2 linked regions of the Arabidopsis thaliana genome follow. The protein of the gene in region 1 interacts with the protein of each later gene in a pairwise test. Each region holds a gene or a part of one and is shown in the gene's direction. Other genes may lie near its edges.

Evidence for each region. The genes of interacting proteins can lie anywhere in the genome.
Region 2: the proteins of CPK26 (region 1) and AT3G13410 interact in a protein complementation assay, tested with the Arabidopsis thaliana proteins (one large-scale study listed by BioGRID).

What each region holds. Positions count from the first base shown.
Region 1 is NC_003075.7:17,928,276-17,933,291, reverse strand, and holds CPK26 (calcium-dependent protein kinase 26), read left to right. Parts: upstream 1-1,789; 5' UTR 1,790-2,091; intron 2,092-2,109; exon of another isoform or gene 2,110-2,182; 5' UTR 2,183-2,190; coding exon 2,191-2,240; exon of another isoform or gene 2,241-2,253; intron 2,254-2,333; coding exon 2,334-2,908; intron 2,909-2,984; coding exon 2,985-3,128; intron 3,129-3,207; coding exon 3,208-3,360; intron 3,361-3,432; coding exon 3,433-3,548; intron 3,549-3,622; coding exon 3,623-3,790; intron 3,791-3,876; coding exon 3,877-4,101; intron 4,102-4,184; coding exon 4,185-4,298; 3' UTR 4,299-4,327; intron 4,328-4,390; exon of another isoform or gene 4,391-4,413; 3' UTR 4,414-4,475; downstream 4,476-5,016. Other genes in the region: CGL1 (alpha-1,3-mannosyl-glycoprotein beta-1,2-N-acetylglucosaminyltransferase), read left to right, coding at 1-7, 109-199, 315-408, 639-701, 777-815, 915-1,085, 1,170-1,286; AT4G38225 (glycerol kinase), read right to left, coding at 4,510-4,521, 4,685-4,720, 4,807-5,007. UniProt on the Arabidopsis thaliana protein: May play a role in signal transduction pathways that involve calcium as a second messenger.
Region 2 is NC_003074.8:4,361,092-4,366,284, reverse strand, and holds AT3G13410 (2-C-methyl-D-erythritol 4-phosphate cytidylyltransferase), read left to right. Parts: upstream 1-1,968; 5' UTR 1,969-2,147; intron 2,148-2,233; 5' UTR 2,234-2,252; coding exon 2,253-2,374; intron 2,375-2,507; coding exon 2,508-2,610; intron 2,611-2,706; coding exon 2,707-2,766; intron 2,767-2,950; coding exon 2,951-3,013; intron 3,014-3,137; coding exon 3,138-3,338; intron 3,339-3,441; coding exon 3,442-3,553; intron 3,554-3,643; coding exon 3,644-3,855; intron 3,856-4,043; coding exon 4,044-4,136; 3' UTR 4,137-4,650; downstream 4,651-5,193. Other genes in the region: AT3G13420 (uncharacterized protein), read right to left, coding at 1-101, 450-834, 1,097-1,290, 1,470-1,562.

The sequences.
Region 1 (5,016 bases):
GATCCCTGTAAGATTCTTCTTCTTCTTCTTCTTTACCTTGCTTCCTCTCTTGCCTGTTCTTTCAATACCTCATTATGTCTAGCTCATGCGAGCTAAAATAATCTGCAGATGCGCTATACCGATCAGATTTTTTTCCTGGCCTTGGGTGGATGCTCAAGAGATCGACTTGGGATGAGTTATCACCAAAGTGGCCAAAGGCATATCCTTATATGCTTTTTTTTCTTTCAATCTCGATGACTATAGTTTGACGCTTCTTAAATTCTAAAAAAAAAAATAGTTTGACGTTTCTAAGACTTTTCTTAACAAATATCCACTTACTGGGATGATTGGCTGAGACTAAAGGAAAACCATAAAGGCCGCCAATTCATTCGACCGGAAGTCTGTAGAACATACAATTTTGGTGAACATGTTAGTACCCGATTATGCTATCCTATATATCATAGTTTTACAAGTCTGTTTTTGTAATGCTGTTAAATTGACCTATGTTCGCTGCATATGACTTCTGCTTTCTGTATGAAAAATGTATTATTGCAGCTTCGTCCTATAGTTTCCCGACACATGGATGTAGACAGTCAATACCACATAATATATTTTTGCATTTCATACTTATCCATAACCTTGTTATATTAATTTGGCAGGGGTCTAGTTTGGGACAGTTTTTCAGTCAGTATCTGGAACCTATAAAGCTAAACGATGTGACGGTAAGCGTAAGTGTGTTTTTTACCCCCTTTTGTTGCATCACTAGTTTTCACTGGTTTCCTATTTCATTCATAAAGGTTGACTGGAAAGCAAAGGACCTGGGATACCTGACAGAGGTAACATTTACAGAACTCCGGCCTTTTTTTTTTATACCATTTTGCATGTTTTGAGTGGAGAAATGTAGTTTTTAACCTGTTCTCTCATGTCTATCAAAGGGAAACTATACCAAGTACTTTTCTGGCTTAGTGAGACAAGCACGACCAATTCAAGGTTCTGACCTTGTCTTAAAGGCTCAAAACATAAAGGATGATGTTCGTATCCGGTATAAAGACCAAGTAGAGTTTGAACGCATTGCAGGGGAATTTGGTATATTTGAAGAATGGAAGGTAAATTTGAGATGATTGAACTATAATCTTCAATAATTGTAGGTCCAAATGGGTCACTTTTTTTGTACCCCTTTGATTGTGTAGGATGGTGTGCCTCGAACAGCATATAAAGGAGTAGTGGTGTTTCGAATCCAGACAACAAGACGTGTATTCCTGGTTGGGCCAGATTCTGTAATGCAGCTTGGAATTCGAAATTCCTGATGCAAAACATGTACTTCTCCAACCAGCATCATTTACATCTTAACCATTGCTTACAGTTCTGTGCTAACCGGGTTTCACAAGCAGATGAAAGGAAAAGAAGATTTTGGACCGCATGCAGCCTCCTTCTAGCAGCTGTTAGGTTGTATTGTTATTTATGGATGAGTTTGTCGAGCGGTGGGGTTAACTTTAACAGCAAGGAAGCTCTGGTGACCTGGCTGATTGGCTTAGAAGTTATGGGAACCCCTTGAAAGGGTCAGGGTTAAATATATTTCAGTTGTTTTATTAGTGATTATCTTGTGGGTAACTTATACGAATGCAAATCATTCTATGCAGTTTTTCTTCGTCCCACTTGTTTTGGCTTCTCTATTGCTAGTGTACATATCTCTTCAAACATGTACTAAATAATGCGTGTTGCTTCAAAGAAGTAACTTTTATTACATCTTTGGCGAGTAGCCAATCAAGGCACTCGACCCATCTTCTCTGGTATAACCCGTCAACTAGAATCTGAGGCCATGGGATCATTAAAGGTTTGTTCCGATGCGACCAATTGGAGGTCTTGATTTGTCTCATGTGAAGTAGGCCTAAGAAAAGAGCCTTGTGGAGTTCCCCTGCATTTTTAGAATATTCTAATTAAAGAGACAGATCTGTTGATGACTATTAATCAAAGATATCTTCTTCTTTTGTTATTTTTAGTCAGGATGTGGAGACGTTGGCGAGAATATTGCAAAACCATGTTCAACAATGTGTATCATCGGATCTGCACCAATCTGACTTAATTTTCATCCATTCTTATCATCTTTGTCTGGTACACATCCATCTCTTCCTCTAATTCCCCTGTTTTGATGTCTCTCCTTATTATTGCGATTTCTTTATGCTAAATTCGTATAATGTTTCAGATCTTGCTATGGGACTTGCTCTGTTTTCCTCTGATGGCAAACTAATTTGGAAGGGGAGGTGAACTAACTTGGTAAGGGATTTGTTTGATGGGCAATTCTTTACAAGCCAAACCACTTCTAATACATTTTGTCTTTCAACGATTTGTTTCAGCACACAAACTGGCAAAAGACGCCCCCAGGAAGAAGCCACAATGAAGCACAGCGGTGGGAACCAAGCCTGCTATGTTCTTGGTCAAAAGACCCCAAGCATCCGAGATCTCTACTCGTTGGGACACAAACTAGGTCAAGGACAGTTTGGGACGACTTACATGTGCAAAGAGATCTCAACAGGGCGTGAATACGCATGCAAGTCTATAACAAAACGAAAGTTGATATCAAAGGAAGATGTGGAAGACGTACGCAGGGAAATTCAAATCATGCACCATCTGGCTGGCTACAAGAACATTGTCACCATTAAAGGTGCTTACGAGGATCCATTGTATGTTCACATCGTGATGGAGCTTTGCTCAGGTGGGGAATTGTTTGACAGAATTATCCAGAGAGGACATTACAGCGAGAGAAAAGCAGCTGAGCTGATAAAGATCATCGTTGGTGTTGTTGAGGCTTGCCATTCGCTTGGTGTCATGCATAGAGATCTAAAGCCCGAAAATTTCTTGTTGGTTAACAAGGACGACGACTTCTCTCTCAAAGCCATTGATTTTGGGCTTTCCGTGTTCTTCAAACCAGGTGATAACATCAGCTGCATCATTTGCAACATCTTCAGTCAGAATTTCACACTTGCTACATCATCTGCAACTTTCAGGTCAAATATTCGAGGATGTGGTTGGAAGTCCGTATTATGTTGCTCCTGAGGTTCTGCTCAAGCACTACGGACCCGAGGCTGATGTGTGGACCGCAGGGGTCATACTGTACATATTGGTGAGCGGAGTCCCTCCGTTCTGGGCAGGTATGCACCCAAATGAAACAACTGTGATTAGGCTTCCAAGGTAAAAGATTCTTAAATATTTGTTTTGCTTCAACTCCAGAAACACAGCAAGGGATATTTGATGCAGTGCTGAAGGGACATATTGACTTTGACTCCGACCCTTGGCCCCTAATATCCGACTCTGCAAAAAACTTGATCCGTGGCATGCTATGTTCCCGGCCCTCTGAGCGACTGACAGCTCATCAAGTATTGCGTAAGTCTAACCAGTTGCTCCTATTTCAGGTCCTGAATTAGTGTATCTGCTAGCTTATTTAGAATTTTGCAGGCCATCCTTGGATCTGTGAAAATGGAGTTGCGCCAGACAGAGCACTAGATCCTGCTGTGCTTTCTCGTCTTAAACAGTTCTCTGCGATGAATAAACTAAAGCAGATGGCTTTACGGGTAAGCCCCCGGCCGCAAGCCTTTTGGCCTTTATTGTGAACAATTTTCCATAAATGTCTTCTGCTGTGATTCAGGTAATAGCTGAGAGTCTCTCGGAGGAAGAAATTGCTGGACTGAAGGAAATGTTCAAAGCAATGGACACGGATAACAGTGGAGCGATTACGTTTGACGAGCTGAAAGCCGGGTTGCGAAGATATGGTTCAACCCTCAAGGATACTGAGATTCGTGACCTTATGGAGGCTGTAAGCACTTTGCTCTGATCTGATCTGTGTGAGTACCTGCTTGAAATCAGTATGTTTAGTATTAATCTGTGACTGTGATTTACCAGGCAGATATTGACAAGAGTGGGACCATAGATTATGGTGAATTCATTGCTGCAACAATCCATCTGAACAAATTAGAGCGTGAAGAACATCTTCTGTCAGCCTTCAGGTACTTTGACAAAGATGGGAGCGGTTACATCACTATCGATGAGCTACAGCACGCATGTGCTGAACAGGGAATGAGTGATGTCTTTCTAGAAGATGTGATCAAGGAAGTCGACCAAGACAATGTGAGTGACTTATGCATACATATCCTCTGGCTTGGAGAGTACATGGTCAAAGGCCAGGGATCATTTTTTTCTTCTTGTTTCAGGATGGAAGGATTGACTACGGGGAGTTTGTAGCTATGATGCAGAAAGGCATTGTTGGAAGAACAATGAGGAAAAGCATAAACATGAGCATCAGGAACAATGCCGTCTCGCAGTGAGAAGCAAGCAATCTCACGATTATGTACAGGTTAAGCCTTTCTCACTTTTTCAAGGTAAATTCCATCAAATTCTTTCCCAAACTGACAAGTCTATACATCGGTGTACGTGAAACAGTCGTTTTTGATAGAGCTGAACGAAGATATGCAAAAGCTACAAAGCTCTGCAGAAATATGGTTCCCATGGTCTGGATCCTTCCCGGTAAAGATTGAATCAACAAAGGCTCTGCATTCTAAAACGAACTGATATGTATTATTAACAGATAAACTGAATCAAACATCAGTATAGGAAGTCATATGAGATTATTGTAATTTGACTTATGTGCACACATCCTACAAAGAAAATTATAAGAATGATCTGTGGAGATTTAAACGATTATTGATCATACATCTGATAGAGCAGTCTCTCTCCCCATTGTTACCTCCTGCGCAAAGTAAAAGAGATAGAATAATGACCACAAGTTGCAAGGAGAAGAGTATGTAGTTGTCAACAAAGAAGATTATTGGTTACCTTTAGCTTAGAATCGCTAGAGAAGACGCAGCTGGATGTGATAGCATGGCCTGGCTCAAAGACCCATCCTACTGAAAATACTCTTTCGCGGTCTTTGCCTTGTTGGAGTGAGCACCACAGCTCTTGCGGAAGCAATAAAAGATCATTTTCTTCTCTCACAATCTCAATCACCTTCTCGCCAGTAACTTGTTGTATACAACCCTGAACATA
Region 2 (5,193 bases), on another chromosome or scaffold:
GCTTCTAAGGATCTGGATAGAGGAGACTTCTTTCGAGAGGCTTCTGCAGCAGATGATTGGGATCCTTTGTAAATGTCTCCAGCTGAATGGTGCTTAATCACCTACAAAAGGTTGAAAACCCACTTGCTATGTCTGTGTAAGTTTTAGAGGAGTACTGAGACAAGAAAAGCAGCATACTATGATGTAATATCAATACTATGTGGCCTTTGTTTGTTAGTGAGAAACAAGTTTCACCTAACCTAGAGTGGCAAAGAGCTAAAAAGCATGGTTGGGTGATCTAGATAGTTCAATCCAATTCTCACTATATTGCATACAGTTTCAAAAGAAAGGTCCGAAAAGAAGCATCTGGAAACCCAATTGGTAAAACCATAGACAAACCAAGTATAAAAACCTCAACTACAATGAGTACACAAACAACTTAAGAGAAGAATAGGTAGAAATAAAAAGACCTGTGTTGCATTGGGCAAAGTGATATTGCTTAGGCCGCCATCTAACAGAGGAGTGTAGGAGGCAGGTTCGTCAATAGAATCTTCCAAGATTTCGTCAGAACGTGAACGTTGCTTAGCTATAGCAGGAGCCTGTAAGAAGCTATTTCGTAATTCTGGATCACGTGAACGTTGCCTAGCTAAAAGAGGAGGTTCTAAGAAGCTATTCCGTAAATCTGAATCTGATTGACGGGGAAATGGAGAGTCTATAATAGAAGCTCCCAGCCTATAGATCTGAAACCATAACAGAGAGGACGATAGCCTCACAACGAACCCAGCAATTTCCATAGCCAGGGTGAGTTTCACAGAGAAGATGTAAAAGACTTGATACATATCAGATGAAATGTTCCTGCATTAACAATTAAATCTTTTGTCAGTTATAGGCAGCAGATGAATACTGGCTCAACAGAATCTAAACACGACATAGCAAAGATTTGCAAAAAAAAAGGTTTAAAGATCAATCAGTTCAAAAAGATGATGAGCCAATCAAGAGAAATTCAGGACAGTTTACAATATGTGATGCAATGAAAATTAAACAAGACAGAGCAAACTCTTAAACCAAATATTTGATCATGATCACAAGCACGGCTGTTCCAAGGATAGTGACATACCAAATCTCTTTGGAGAAGAGAATGAACCATGAGACATCAAGAAGAATGGCGCAGAAAAGAAGAACCGCATAGGTTCTGCCAAGACTTTGGCTATTACTCTCGATTGCTACTAACCCAAATAACGCAATCGCCAAATTTATCAGCACGACTCCATTGTACAATGCCCCTAGTGAACCGATCAACGCGCACCCTATCTGAAACAAATGATTCATCAATATGAGTTTCTTGCACTTCTAACCACAATTAAAAGAATAACAAACAAATATCGACAGAGAAATCGTAGAACCCTAATCCCAAACAGATACGAACAATTCACGAGAAAAAACGTGAAATCGGAGGAAATGAAACAACTACAAAGCGATTACGGATTTACCTGAGCATAGATAAGAATCAAAACGACAGATTGGAGCCTAACGTAGTCGCGAAGCCAATTATGTATTCGATTTCGTAACGAAACACAAAGCATCGTAAAATCTCAACCTCGCAGCTCTCGTTACTTGTTACTTCAATGGACTTTCATAATACAAAATGGCTCGACGATTCTGATGCTAAATTGCAATTTTCCGGCGAACGAAATCGGTGAATCAAGAGAGAACGACGATTTGAGAATTTTCGTGAGGGAGAAAGTAAAGAGTGTCTTTGGCGGGATCGCGTTGCAGAAGAGGCAACAAAATAAAAAAATGAGGAAACGAAATATTCCGTTCAATCGTGACGAAGTTATTATAAGATTTAAGGAGGTTTCCGTTTCTTGTCCAGAGTGACGGACGCTTAACGGAGTCACGAAATTTTGGGCCGTATTGGAAAATCTTTAAAAGCCTAATCAAGCCCAAAACTTCAGACCGGTTAATATCTGAACATAACCGAAACCGGTTATCTCGGTTAGCGATTTTCGTTTCAAAAACGACGCCGTTAATTCCTTACATGTCGACTACTCATATGTGTCGCCCAGATTTGAAGATCGGAGATATGAATCTCTTCTTTCTCTGGATTTGAAAGTTCGATAAAAATCTACTGATACATCGACTTCTGGAAGCGATCTCGATCTCTCTAGGTTTGTGATTATCTTTGAATTTGCTGATTGTTTCGTTAGGCGTGAGGAATTGTTCGATTGATTTTTTTTCCTTTTGTCTCCGGTAGAATTGTTTCGACGACGAAGATGAAGAAGATTCAAATTGGTGCGGTGGCGCTATTGGTGTTTCTATCTGTGGCCTCTCTCTTTGAAATCGGATTGGCTTCTCCGAACACAGTTCCTGCTTTCCTCTGGTCTCCGCATCTCCAGTTATGCATCTTGTTTTCTCTATAATTCTCAATTTGATTGATGGAAATGTGTAAAAAGCCTGGGACTTGTGATATCTGATGTGAGTTAGCTTAGATTACTGGGTTGATTGGTTTATGTGATTCTGAAAATCAGGTCTGCTAATGGTGAATTGGATGAGGCTGTAAATTATCAGGTCATGTCTGCAAAGGATCTAGTTGGTTCTGTTTTCACTCAAGGAGGTTGGTCAAACTTTCTGGTATGGTTTCTTCTTCATGATCTTATGATTTCAATTCTACAACTCACTGGATGTCAAATGATTTTTCTTATTGTCATTACTGTCTCCTTTGTTTAGTGCTCAGAGAAGAAGCTTGAGCAACCTGTTGATGTTGCACTTGTGTTCATAGGCAGAGAGGTAATTGAATGATGTAGTATTGTTGTTTTAACATTAGCATAAATGACCTTGTGGATCTTTGGTTTCTTGTTGTGATATTGTAAAGAAACTGATGTTTTAATATTGCGGGAAATTAATCGTCTTTGCTCTGTATCTTCTGTGTTATGCTGAGAATTCTAATATTCACGTTCTCTTCCGCCTGCAGTTACTGTCTTCTGATGTTTCTTCAAAAAGGAACTCAGATCCTGCCCTTGTTAACACATTGAATGTAAGTGCAAATTTTCTTTTCTTCAACAAGAAATTTCGAAATTGCATCCGTAACACAGATCTCTGACATAGTTGTTTGATATAAAGTTTACAATACTCTAACATCCAAGTCTTTGTTTCAACAGAATCTATTTACAGCTTCCAACTTCTCATTGGCATTCCCATATATTGCTGCTCCAGAGGAAGAAAGGATGGAGAATTTGTTACTTTCAGGGCTTAAAGAAGCTTGTCCCAACAATGTAGGAGTCAGCAATATCGTGTTCTCAGATTCGTGCTTTGTTGAGGATGGAACAATTCAGAAACTTTCAGACTTGCAGTCTTTCAAAGTAATACTCATTGCTCTTAAGTTTTTATTTTCCCTAATCCCATGCCTTCCCAGTGTTATCACCCCCTTAACTTCACTTTCTAATACTCATTAATAATTGACAGGATCATTTGCTTGCTAGAAGAGAAACAAGGAAAGAAGGAGAAACTGACTTGGTTGTGCTCTGTTCCGAGGGTTCTGAATCGAATAGTCAAGCTGGACAGTCACATTCAGAGCGTAAGTGGAAAGATCATTACAAAATAATACTAACAATTAGATATCATTTGAGAACTAGGAAATTAAGCAATTCTTTGACCTATTCTGCAGGTGAAAGCTTCTTGGAACTTGTTAGTTCTGTAGAACAATCCGGCAGTAAATATACAGCTCTTTATGTTTCTGATCCTTATTGGTACACATCTTACAAAACTCTCCAAAGGTTTCTAGCTGAAACTGCTAAAGGAAACAGTACTCCTGAAATTGCTACTGGCTGTGATGAACTCTGCAAATTTAAGTCATCACTTTTGGAGGGCATACTAGTGGTAATTACTCTTTTTACTCGTGTTTTTTTGGTATTCATCGTTCTCAAGAAAGATTCATAAACATCATAGAATGGACAAGTTTAATGAGCATCTTGGTCATATCTAGCTGGAAGATAATTTAATTCAATGTGTTAAAATTTCGTAAAAGCCTTTGATTATGTCTCGTCCTTTTCTTTTTCTTTTTGCAGGGAATCGTTTTTCTTCTCATCTTGATCAGTGGACTTTGCTGTATGGCGGGTATCGATACACCGACTAGATTCGAGACTCCTCAAGATTCTTAAGCTGTTGACCTTAAGAGCCATCCCCACCTTTTGCTTTGCTTTTGACGAGTCTTTTCTTGTGCATAGTGCGCATTGTGGAAGGTACTTCAATGTCGATTTGTTACATTATTACTTCAAAACAAAATCTGCATATGCCATAAAATCCCCTTGTATCATTTATTCATCTTGTTTGTGAGTCTTTCTTAAACGTCATAAATTAATAATGGAGAACGAGTAAAAAACCAGAGATACATACACTGGAGAACGGATTACATTCTTTTTCAGAATTTTTTTTGTTTCTTTTTCTTAGATTATATTCCGGAGTTATCGTGCTCATAGTATCGTATTCATATCAATTTGGGGATTCGGACATAGATTTTCTGGAAGAAAAAAACTCAGGACAATAATGTCGGTAGAGTCAGAGTGGTAGGACATGTGTGTGTACCATCACTTGTATAGATAGATAGAAAGATAGATATAGATGATAGTTTTGTGAACAATTAAGAAAATAGTAAGAATACATATATAAGTTTTGTCATGCAACATGCAATTCTAATCCAAATTTAATGTTTGCCTCGGCATGTTTAGTCATTATTAAGTAATATCGATTGAGCAATTAGCAGTTTATAATTTATCTAGATAGACCTTTTGTTTTGACTATTTCGTTGATTTGTTCCATGATTCAATACTTAGCAAAACATCTTCATATGTTGGGGTCCTTATGGTCCCTGCATGGACCTATTGACAAAGTCATAAGATCAATCTTTCAGATTCTTTGATTGACCTCTCTCTCTCCATAAAGAAGCGTATAAAGAATCAAAATGACCGAAAACGATGGTTCTATTCATCTTTTCCCCACTATACATACTCCTACATTTATTCTAACATAACACTATTCGTATCCCTGTTTTTTTCAAAGTTTATACTATAACAAATACATGACTGTATTTGTCTAATTACGAAGAAGTTTCAAAAGCATCATTTATGAACAATGTTTATCTTTTTTTTTCTTACACAAACATTTATAAAAAATCATGTCACCATGACATGTAGCTTAGTTTTATACTAGCGATATTTT